3 linked regions of the Ovis aries genome follow. The protein of the gene in region 2 binds, or shares a complex with, the protein of the main gene of each other region. Links are inferred from orthologs where the notes say so. Each region holds a gene or a part of one and is shown on either strand. Other genes may lie near its edges.

The links.
Region 1: PRPF4 (region 2) and LSM5 share a complex: the UniProt entries of both Homo sapiens proteins name them as parts of the precatalytic spliceosome. The link is inferred for Ovis aries from reciprocal best matches to the Homo sapiens genes PRPF4 and LSM5.
Region 3: the proteins of PRPF4 (region 2) and PPIH are in contact, whole or in part, in a crystal structure (PDB 1MZW), measured with the Homo sapiens proteins. The link is inferred for Ovis aries from reciprocal best matches to the Homo sapiens genes PRPF4 and PPIH. Residues at the interface, in NP_004688.2 of Homo sapiens: Arg113, Gly116, Glu117, Pro118, Ile119, Thr120, Leu121, Phe122, Gly123, Glu124; in NP_006338.1 of Homo sapiens: Phe14, Arg26, Phe46, Cys47, Thr48, Gly49, Pro57, Ile58, Gly59, Tyr60, Lys61, Gln173, Cys174, Gly175, Glu176, Met177.

What each region holds. Positions count from the first base shown.
Region 1 is NC_056057.1:65,579,199-65,582,947, forward strand, and holds the start of LSM5 (U6 snRNA-associated Sm-like protein LSm5), read left to right. Parts: upstream 1-1,210; 5' UTR 1,211-1,230; coding exon 1,231-1,276; intron 1,277-2,337; coding exon 2,338-2,433; intron 2,434-2,714; coding exon 2,715-2,742; intron 2,743-3,345; coding exon 3,346-3,418; intron 3,419-3,749. UniProt on the Homo sapiens protein: Plays a role in pre-mRNA splicing as component of the U4/U6-U5 tri-snRNP complex that is involved in spliceosome assembly, and as component of the precatalytic spliceosome (spliceosome B complex).
Region 2 is NC_056055.1:10,436,315-10,439,963, forward strand, and holds part of PRPF4 (U4/U6 small nuclear ribonucleoprotein Prp4), read right to left. Parts: intron 3,533-3,649; coding exon 3,439-3,532; intron 2,931-3,438; coding exon 2,836-2,930; intron 1,434-2,835; coding exon 1,375-1,433; intron 935-1,374; coding exon 811-934; intron 1-810. UniProt on the Homo sapiens protein: Plays a role in pre-mRNA splicing as component of the U4/U6-U5 tri-snRNP complex that is involved in spliceosome assembly, and as component of the precatalytic spliceosome (spliceosome B complex).
Region 3 is NC_056054.1:17,161,786-17,165,512, reverse strand, and holds the start of PPIH (peptidyl-prolyl cis-trans isomerase H), read right to left. Parts: upstream 2,850-3,727; 5' UTR 2,826-2,849; coding exon 2,760-2,825; exon of another isoform or gene 2,425-2,759; coding exon 2,360-2,424; intron 2,069-2,359; coding exon 2,045-2,068; exon of another isoform or gene 1,951-2,044; coding exon of another isoform or gene 1,928-1,950; intron 1,773-1,927; coding exon 1,728-1,772; intron 1,477-1,727; coding exon 1,434-1,476; intron 1-1,433. UniProt on the Homo sapiens protein: PPIase that catalyzes the cis-trans isomerization of proline imidic peptide bonds in oligopeptides and may therefore assist protein folding. Participates in pre-mRNA splicing.

The DNA.
Region 1 (3,749 bases), on a different chromosome or scaffold from region 2:
TTTTTTTGGCATTACTTTGTCTTGCCAAAGAATGATGTGACGATTGACTAAGATCCCTGAAGTTAAAAGAGCACTTTTTGCTTTACATATTAAATTCCACGTGCTTTGTACATAATGCTTGCTAGTTGTCTTTCTCCCCCATTTATCCTTTAGCTCCTATAAGGGCAGAAGACGTTGTAGTTCTGTTCTTTACGCTGGTTATACTGAGCAAAATGCCAATGTTCAACTAAAGTATTTGTTCGATGAATGAATGATTGGTGCTTTGCAGCCATTGTGTGAATGAATGATGTCCTTCCTGGCCTTTCCTGCTTAAACTCTTTAGCTTTAAGCTCCTCAGATATAAACATAAAATAGACCAACGCAAAAAATTTGTTCGCTTTTTCTTTTCAAAACAGATGCGTAAAAGCAGCAAGGCTTCCTAAATGTGATGTTATTAACATAGAATGACATCTGGTGGTTGCCTGTTGGACTGTGGAAGAAATAGTGTATACAAAATGTATAGCAGACTCCTAGATATTACAAGATTAAAAAGGACAGTTCAGTTCTGTCACTGTTTTGTCCGACTCTTTGCGACCCCATGGACTGCAGCACACCAGGCTTCCCTGTCCATCACCAACTCCTGATAGTAGAAGATAGAAAACAATAGAAATGGAAAAAATTGAAAAAGTAGAATAGAAAAATAGAAAAAGAAAACGATAGTAGAAAATAGAAAACATACTTAAAATTTCCCCCTCGCCCAACAAACTTTATTAAAAATGCTAGTTGTGGGTTTTCAAATCATCAAACTTTTAAAAGAAGCGGTAGATTTTTTTTTTTAACGAAAATTGCAACACAATGAATCGGTGGCGGGAAAATCAAATTTATTGATTCTGGTCGAAGAAAGATCCTGGGTTGATATGAGACACACCTCGATAAGGGGAAATAAGACAGCACAAAGGCTTCCGTTTCGCAGGCTTCCGGATTAGAGAAATAACTTATTTATAAGACCGGAGATCTCTAAAGTCTCTTGGAAGTTTGGAGAGGCGAGTTATCTGTGGAGAACCTAGAACGCTCAGTGAACAGAAACACTTTCTAGAATCTCCCTGCAGGATAAAGAAGTGGCTGGATCTCCTCAATCGCACTCTCGGCCTCAGATTGGTCGAGCCTGCCTGGGCCGGAAAAAAGCGGAAGCGCGCTCTTTCAAACTCGCCGTTCCGACGTCGATAGAGGCAGGCCACTTCCGGCGTAGCCATGGCGGCTAACGCTACCACTAACCCGTCGCAGCTGCTTCCTCTAGGTAATCTTTGTCCTGTTGGGGAGCCGGGGCGGGGAGTTGAAAGTTAGGGTTGGGGCCGAAGAGCAAGGCAGTCCCTGACCGAGTGTTAGAAAAACGTAGCTTTCTCTGCAGCTCTCCTTTAGGCTCCAAGTCTCGGCGGCCTGAGGCCGCACAAGTCTCTCTGGCGTGGGGGAGTCTTCTTGAGGCAGGGGTTTTTGACTCCCCAAACCTTCACCGGAAAGGTTCAGTCTTGGTGAATGTGTCGTTGACCTTCTTTGTTGGGTGCTCGCCTTTATAATAGTAAGAGGCCCATTCCGCAACCGGGCTTTTAAACTACCCGGGTTATATCCTGTCTGGCTGGTTTCTGAGTGAGGCACTTGGGTCTGGAATGAGCCTTTAAAGAGGCCTCTGAAAACTAGCTCTTGTTACTCATTTATTCAGCAAGCAGTTACCGCGCCATCTGTGCACTAGACACTGTGATTGGGCACTGTTCAACAAATTTAAATCACGGCCATTACCTTCAGATAGCATACAAACCAGTGTAGGAAACAGGATACAGGGCAGACATAGACTTAATGACAAGGAGGAATCTCTGGTGAAGACAGTTCTGCCTTTTTTTTCCCCTTAATATTTTATATTTGAAGGGTTATCGGGTTAGTGGATGTGGCAGTTATTGTAAAGGTTTTTTTCCATCCTGGAACAAATTCTTCTGAATGACCAGTACATTTCAGGCATTGTCCACTGGGGATACACTGATGAGTAAAAACCACCTCTCAGCTCTCTTTCAGCTTAGAGTCAAGAGGGGCGTTCATATGTTAATCAGATAACTAAAATAGTATTAAACTACAACCATGATAAATTGCTACAAAGGAGGGTTAAATGAATAACAGGGAGGGAAAACTGTCCTTTTAATAGAATGACTGAACAGAGATATGTAACATAAGGTCTAAAGTTTTGGAGTGAATACTTTTCCTGGCTTATCTTTTCACCATATGCATGTAACAAGTGTCAGTAGGCATTCAAATATTTGTTAATGTTATGAATGGGCAAACTAATCTTCTCTCTCCCGCCCTTATCTGCAGAGCTTGTGGACAAGTGTATAGGATCAAGAATTCACATTGTGATGAAGAGTGATAAAGAGATTGTTGGCACACTTCTGGGATTTGATGACTTTGTCAGTATCCTTTTAAAAGGTGGTTGTATGGATTTTTCTTCAGATTTTTAAAAAAGAACTATAGACTATCAGTACTTACCGATTATTATAATAAAGTTTAATTTATTTTTTTGGAAATTGTGATAGTGTTTTAAGGGATTGTGGTACTGAAAGATGAAGTTCCTACCAATTGCACGCAGCTTGCATTTGAGCCATTGTATTCAATGTTATAATTAAAACTGAACAAAGAAATAAGCCAGAGTAAATTTAATTTGGTATGTTTATTTTCTTAACACCAAATTTCAGATATGGTATTGGAAGATGTCACTGAATTGTGAGTAGTGTTAAAAATTAAAGAATGGGTAGGGGGAATCTCTGTTTGATTTAAGGCAGTTTTAGTGCTGTTGAGTCAGTAAAAGGATGTAGGAGAGCACACTGCCTGTTTGAATTACTCTAAAGAGAGAAAGTTTACCTACTGATGTTAGTAAAATTGGATTGGAGGATTATTACCATAATTTAATTGTCACTAATTGCTAGGAAGTTAGTGGAGACAAAGGTTTAAGGTAAAAGATACTAAAAGCAGCCAGGGATCTTAGCGCTCAGATCAAATAAAGGAACTTATAATAAAAACATTTAATGTTTTAAATTAGTTACTCTAAAACTTATGTGTATATATATATATATAAACATTTTATTTCATATTTGATCTCCTTGGTAAGTTTCAGTTTTTTAGATGAAGATCTGCACTAGTGGATGTGGGTCTTAGGCCAGTCAGTCCACTCTCTTGCCTTTGGAGAATTGACATCACCATGGGGATAACCTTGTCTCTGGAAAGTGTACAGTTCATTTATATATAGTAACTAACCTTTTGGTGGATCAGAATGTTGGCTTTGATTATCACTCTTTATCCTGACTTTTTGAAAATCTTTTTGTTTAGTGAAATCACACCAGAAGGAAGAAGAATTACTAAATTAGATCAAATTTTGCTAAATGGAAATAATATAACAATGGTAAGACAGTGAAGGTCTTTTATTTAGATGTTAAGCCATCTTTGTGGGGCAGGGATTACAGAACTGACTTGATTGACTCAATGTTCTTGGCCCAGTGGTGCTTAGGGTGGGAAGGGAATGCTCTGCTGATCAGGATTCTGTGGCCAAACTGTTGAAGATGACATTAGGCCTAAGATTAGTTTGTTTATACCTTTTATCTTATGTATTTTTAAAATATTTATTTATTTTTTTATTTGGCTGCATTGGGTCTTAGTTGCATCACAGAAGATCTTTACTTAGTTGCAACATGTGGGATCCAGTTCCTTGACCAAGGATCAAACCTGGGCCCGCT
Region 2 (3,649 bases):
AATTTTATCTCAAACTTCAGCTTGTCCAAGGATCTTCATGAAAGAAGAACTCCTAAACAGAGGCTTAGTTTCCTTTCAGTGGCCCTTAAATTCTACTACCAGCAACAGCAGAAAGATCTGAAACACCAGTGAAAGGAAATAAACACAAACCCTAAAGAGGGCAATTAAAAAGAGAACACTATTAATGTGGATACACATAACTAATCAAAGCCCTAGAGGAACAAACATTGCTACTTATTACCAAAGCCAATTAAAACTTGCTGTGCTCACAGGTAATATCCTATCTAGCAGAGTGGAGACACTAATTAGCTCCTCACAAAATCCTAGAACAAAAGCCTCATGTGCTTTCCCAAAGAAGGAAAACTAAGCAACTGAATTCAGAAGTCTTTTAGGCAACAAGGTGCTTCTAACTATTTCTTGGAAAACAATAAATAATCACAAACACATTAAAACAGACAAGCCTGTTGTACTTGGAAAATATGGTTTAGGTAAAGTATGATGAAATTGTGAGCATACCACTTCCTTGGCAATACTGCTGGACATAGCCTTCTTTCTCTCCCCTGCGGCTGTTTGCTAAGAACCAATGTGTTGTCTGGAGTATTATTTTCAGTCAATCTACCAAATAGCGCATTTCTCCAACGTCAATCTACTGCAATGGCAGGTATAATAGATCGTTCCAGAATAACGAGCCAGGAAACAGTGGTCACTGTTTAGAGGCAAAAACCAAGGTACAGAGTTCTAGGTCCCTAGGGCCAACCAATCAACTGTTTACTGTGGTGACTGCCGTGCGGACAGAGCAGTAATATTCACCTGTCAAGGCTCCACAGTTTCACAGAACCATCAGCAGCACAAGAGGCCAGATTGACGTCTTTTTGGTCCAAGGAGACCGTGGATTTGGGATGGAATACGATCGCTCCCACGTTTGTGTTATGGCCTGAAGGAGTGTAAGAGATGGAAATTAAAGGGCTGCTGTTCCGTTATAACTTAAGTGTAAATATACACAATGAGGAATATTATATATACACATTTCAGAAAACGTGAACCTATAAAGTATTATTCAACTACTAAAAAACTGAACTTTTAAAATTTAAACGTATAAATTACATTAAAAAAAAAGCTAAACACATACAAAAAAGTTTCTTGCTTTAGAGACTGCAAATGCCAGAGTAGGGCTGGACATGAGAGAGAAATATGCGTATGATATCATTATCATTCAGCCTTGCAGTCAAAGAAAACCAAACCAAGTCAGATCATATCAAGAATTAATTGTGTGTGTACTGGGTTTGAGTGTCCGGTAGAGCTTTAAGAGCTATACTGCTTGATAAGAGTTTGAACTGGGAAAAAGACCAAGCTTTGGGTAAGAGTCTAACTCACCTCGCAGAGTGTGAAGGAGGTTGCAATCCGGAACAGACCAGAGCTTGCAGAGCCCACTCCTATCAAACACAAAGGAAAGCACCTCAGCCAGGGTTGGTCTGGGAAGGAAAAGGTATCTTGGTAACATTACTAAAGGACAGTATCTTCTTACCCCCAAAAATAGTTATAGCGGCAGTCAAAAAAGAAAAGACTTATCATTTGAAGGGTTATATAAGAAAGCTATAACCAGGTCTGAAGCAAACAAAGGCCTCTACTGGACTATAAATATTATAGCACAAGTTGCTCTTCTCCTTAACTTTTAGACCAATTTCTAGGCAAAGTAGGAGAAATTAAATTATCTAACTATAATATTAATAATGATACTATCTCCTTAAATATGAATAGCATATTACTTACAAAGTAATTAAATTTTAAAAACTGCTTTATTTTGAAAAATTCCAACAAATTACTTTTATATCATCTCAGATGACCATTGTAACAGATTTGTGAGGTACATAAGACAGGAATGATCATTTCTATTCTACTTGTGCGTTCGTTTTATTTTCTGTAATTAACTTTTTAAATTGGAGTATAGATGATTTACAATGTTGTGTCAGTTTCTGCTGCACAGCAGTGAGTCATTTCTGCTTCATAATAAAGACGGCTAAGGCTTTGAAGAGGTGGACGATCTACATATGTCCTTGGTTTTCTCCTGAACTGGTCTTGATTTTTGCCTAGTCAGGTAGCTTCTGTGTGTACAATGTAAGGAAGATAGCCCCTCACTAGATGACAATGTCCCACAAGAACACTAAGTGACTGAACAGAACAAAACACCAAAGTTTTCACATCTTAAAAGTTTTTTGCATATGCGATGGCAAACAGAAAACAGAATAAACACAAAAACGGTAATTTGCTTTGCTTTACAGATAAAGAAACTGAAGCTTACACAGAAGTATCTTGCTTAGGTCACATAACTAATAAAGAAAAGCTATATCAAGGTGTGTATAATTAGTCTATAAACTCCTTGTATTAATATATCTGCTCCAAAATGATGCTAATGCCAAGAATATGACTGACACATGAGAACTGAAAGCTCTATTATAAACTACAATGGGTACACATTACCACCTCTAGTTTGATGTGATCATGAGCAGCAGAGGAAAATGGGATGGCAATGGCCTTCTATTTATTTTTCACCTTTTTTTTGAAAGTAGCTCAGTCACATCTGACTCTTTGCGACCCCATGGACTATACAGTCCATGAATTCTCAAGGCCACAATACCGGAGTGGGTAGCCTTTCCCTTCTCCAGGAGATCTTCCCAACCCAGGGATTGAACACAGGTTTCCCACAATGCAGGCGGATTCTTTACCAGCCGAGCCACCAGGGAAGCCAAGCAATGGCCTTCGAAAACAAATGTTGACTTTCCCCCCAGAACCCCATTCAGGGAAAAGAAAACAAACCACTGTAAGATGGGGACTTACCAACAAGCTGTGGCCAGCATTTTGGAATTGGGACTAAAGTGACAGTAGGAGATAGGCCGGTCATCCCCAATCTGACTGCAGAAATTATTCAAAGACTTAAAGAAAAGACAAACAAGCAATCATTAAATGCTAACCCAAGACTTTCTTGGCTTTTCCACCACCACAACAACAACAACAACAAAAACCTTTTCAGTTTTAACCCACCCTAAGATTCCCCACCCCTCCTCTTTTGTCAGAAGACACTTCTACAAATGAATGAACGAACCGAGTCAAGGCTTATCTGGAACTCCCTCATGCTGTCATCTACAGACTGTGTCGACAGCGTCTCTGTCCACTAAATATAAACCAGAAAGCCATGGCAAGCCTTAAAGCACAGTCTAACATATTAAAAGGGAGAAGTACAGCACAGAACCACAGGCGCCTGCCTCGTACAAAGTACAGCAGGTTCCCTGGCACCTTAACGGACCAATCCTCTCAAGCAGCAACAGTGCAAGCAAAGATGTACGGCTGCCTTTTATTTGTTAGAGGTGGGCCAAGGTAGAACATTTAATAAACACTGCAAGAAATCTTTAAAACATCAGGCAATCATGGGGAGCGTCTTACCCGGAGAGATTTGTGCAGCTCTTGCATCTGGGAGGTTCTAGTTGTCTCAGGAATCTCTTTATGAAGACGGGCCTCTTCTAAGCGTTTCATTGCCCTGTAACACAGAAAACATTACCCTGGGCAAACTGGCTGGAAACAAGGGTCCACAGAAGTCTCTGTACCACTCAATTTCAACTAACAACCACAGTCATTATAAAGCAGATCCTCAGTC
Region 3 (3,727 bases), on a different chromosome or scaffold from region 2:
TTAAAACACATTATTAAAACAAACAAACAAGCAAATATTCTTAGTCCAACTTTAGAAGGTCTCAAATTCTGCTTCTACGTCTTGCTCATTCTATTTTTTCTGCCCTAAGGGTGGCTCTGAGTAATTTCTTCTCCCTGACAGCCTTCTGGCTGACTAACTGCTAACTCTAGAGCAATTAGCAAGTGATCACATGTGCCTAGCAATGACCCATAAGAAGTTAGTCCTATCCCTGCTAAGACAATATAGCAGTATAGAAGCCTTTGGAAGAAAGAACACAGAGAATAGCATCTTAGCCCTTCTTACTTGCCAATAAAAAAGGATATGGTCACCCCAAGCCCTACTCTAATCAGTCGTGGCCAGGGGTTGCAAACTTAAATGCCTATAGGAGTATGTGACGTAAAGAAGGGAAGCCAGTGGTGGGAACTGTGGTGAAATAATAAGGACATACCTGTCTAAAGGGAGCTGTTACTTGACTCAACCAAATGTTGCTACATGAGAAACACAGGCCAAGTGCACCCCTACTTTTCAGTTGTAACAGAGAAAACAAAACTCCAGAACTTTCCGGAAAATTTCCCAGTTTTACAACATCATACAGATGATACAAAGCATATCTGTTTCGGATTCAGCCCCAAATCTGCCACTTTGTAAACTTATCTGGGTAGGAAAGATAGAAATCTTAAAAAAACTCCTAACAGTCAAACTAAATATACATGTAAAGGATAAAGAATGTCTCCCAGATCCAAGAAAACAGCAACATGACTAACCAAATGATATTAATAAGAAAGATCATGCACAGAAATGGGTGGGTATGGACAAACGTAGGTTTAAGAAAGCATAAATGTGGTTTATTCAGAACCCTGCAAGGTTGGGAAGCTTGAAATGGGGATGCATACAGTGGCAAGAAAAATCATGCTTAGCAATGAAGGATTAATTCAATGGGTTCTCCTAGTGAATAGGGAAAATATCCTTCCAGAACTCTCTGATTTCTTGCCCACTAATGAACTTGATTAAAAAAATAACAACTCACCTTCCGAGGCACTGGGATACCAGAAGTGAATGGGAAATCAGGGCATAAGCATTTAACTCACTGGAAAGGGACTTGCCCCCATTTAGAGAAAGTTAACTGTAACTGATTTCTAGCTAAATTCCATGTGCCCAGTTAATTTGGGTCTGTCATGGATCACCTATAGGTATGCTGGGAAAGTCAGTTCCCAGCCCTAAAAGACTGAGATTTGGAGTGAGTGACTCAATCAAAGTGCTAATATGTTATCTAGTGATGCAGCGAGTAGCAGCCATCACAGGATATTCCCATTCCCACCTCCTCCCCCAGCAAACTTGGCTACTGTTCTCAGTTCCCCGAGGAGCAGCTTCAATAACAACAACCAACAAAAACAAAACTTATAGGCCCTTAATAGGAAAGGAACAGTACTTACATTAACAAAATCTCCACCCTGAATCATGAAATCTTTTATGACCCTGAAACAGAGAACAAAGGATGCTGGGAGAAGATTGTGTGGTTTGGAATAACATTAATTTCAAAATATAATGTTTATCACTTCAGTCCTCAAATCAATGGTTGAGTTCACAAAAGCATCCCTTCTCAAGAACTAAGAATTATGCTATGGTTTTGTTTTCCTCTGAAGAGACTAATCCCCCAAGGAAGTAATTCTAAACCATACTAATAGTAATTTTAAAAGTCCCCCAGGATGGCTTGCCAAAGGCCTTACCTGTGGAAGGTGCTCCCCTTGTATCCTATCGGAACCCCATCTTTTCTATAAGCAAAAAGAAAGAGACTTGAAATGGTAAACAGGTAAACATAGGCCTTTCACGTTTACCATACAGTCGAGCCAGAGACACCCTTCTAAAGATGGTCGGGAGAAGAGAGACGAAGAAGGCAAATGAACTGAGGACAGACCCATAGTAATACCTTCTATTACTGTCACCAGTCATACAAGGCCTGCCGGTGATTCCCCAATACCCTCAACTGCAGCCTCAGGACAGCCCTCAGGAGCAAGCAGAGAAGTCAACCACGTCAGAGACTGACCTGAATTCTCCTGTGCAGAACTGCCTGAAAAGGAAAAGAGTGAACGATTCAGTCGCCATGGCATCACAACTCTGAGCGTCCCTAACCTCAGCGGGAAGGGGAACGTCGGCGCTAGCTAGCCCACCAACTGGCTGGTCAGACGTCCAGGCATACAGATTAACATAAACTGAAAAGGGGACGGTCAAGACTATTCAGAGAGATACCCAGAGAAGTCAGATCTCAAGGACGGTGAATGAACGGATAGAGGTAGGCAGAAGATTCCACAGACAGGCCCAGCTTCTCGTTTGGTTTATCCAGCAAAGAACATCATCTTACCTAAAATTCTCCGCCGTCTTAGGCACAACGTCTGCAAAGAGCTCAATCTTCATACGACCAACCTCCTGCAACCGGCGAGAGACGTTCAGAAAGCCCAGTCCAAGCCCGTGAAGGCCTCACCGAACAGGGAACCCTCGGGCCCCCATGCCGCTTGGTCTCTCCCACCTCCGCCTCCGTAGCCTACTCTTCCGTTCCACCCGGTCCCTCCACCAGCCGGGCGCTAGGATGCGCAAGACTCCTCCTCTTCCTACTCCCTCACCCCCGCCCCGCAGGTCGGTAGGTTCTGGTTCAATTTCACTTTTTGGCTTCCCGAGTTTGCTACACCTGAGGAGGTGATCTGCCTGCCAGACCGCGTGCACGTTCCCTTTGGCATCGGGCTGGCTGGCTGCCAAGACCTCACCTGGCCGCCAATGCTGACATCAAAGAATACCACGGGATTGACAGGGCTTGAATTTGCCACCGCCATGCCTCTGACCCGGAAGCAGAAGTCGGGAGCGCGGGGTTCCGGCGATCCTATGATCTTGCTCCGCCGGGAGGTGTTTATTTCCGGCGCAGGCGCAGGAAGAGCCGGGGGGGGGGGCGGTGCGGTGGGAGGCGGTCGGCCCCGCCCCCGGAAGCTCTCTGCCTTCGATGCCAAGCTGCGCGCTGCGTGGGTGGCCGGGGCTTCCTTCCGTTTTGACGAGTCGCAAGTTGTTACCTCACCTGAGTCTCCTTGAGCGCTGAGGCCGGAGGACATCCTCGGCTTTTTTTTCGCTCGAGGCCCACGGGCCTCTCATTCACTTGGATACAGTAAGTGCAGTACGGATGATTCTCGCTCAGGCTACGGGGCTTGGACTAGGCAGTCTTCAGGGTCTGATCAGCCTTTGCAGCCAAGACCGTCTGAACCATCATATGTGCGGCCTCTTACCCCTTTTCACTAGTCTGGAGGCCCGGAAGCAAAAACCGTGTTTATCCTCAGCGCTTTGAACAGCCTGGCATATAAGGCTTGTTCAGTATATTCAGCACTTTCATGAAGTCAGGCACTAGACTTTAATTCCAGTTCTCCCACAAGCTTCCGCTTTCATCATCTCCAAGTCACTTACTGCAGAGCAGCTAGAGCTTTTAAATGAATCTGCTTATAAATCACTCCCGGATTCCCTTATTTAGAATAAAATCCAGTTGCTACATAAAAGACCTACATTACATTATCTGGCCACCTACCTGGGACTCTAGCCTGTTCCTCTAGGTCACGGAGACTCGGATTCTATTTAGGGCCTGTTAACTGACTTTAATATTCTTCTAAATCTTCATGAGGGTGCGGAGTGGTCTTGTAGGTCAAGTCTCATCTCAGGTCATTAGTCAGGAACATTGCACCCAATCTAAAGTAGC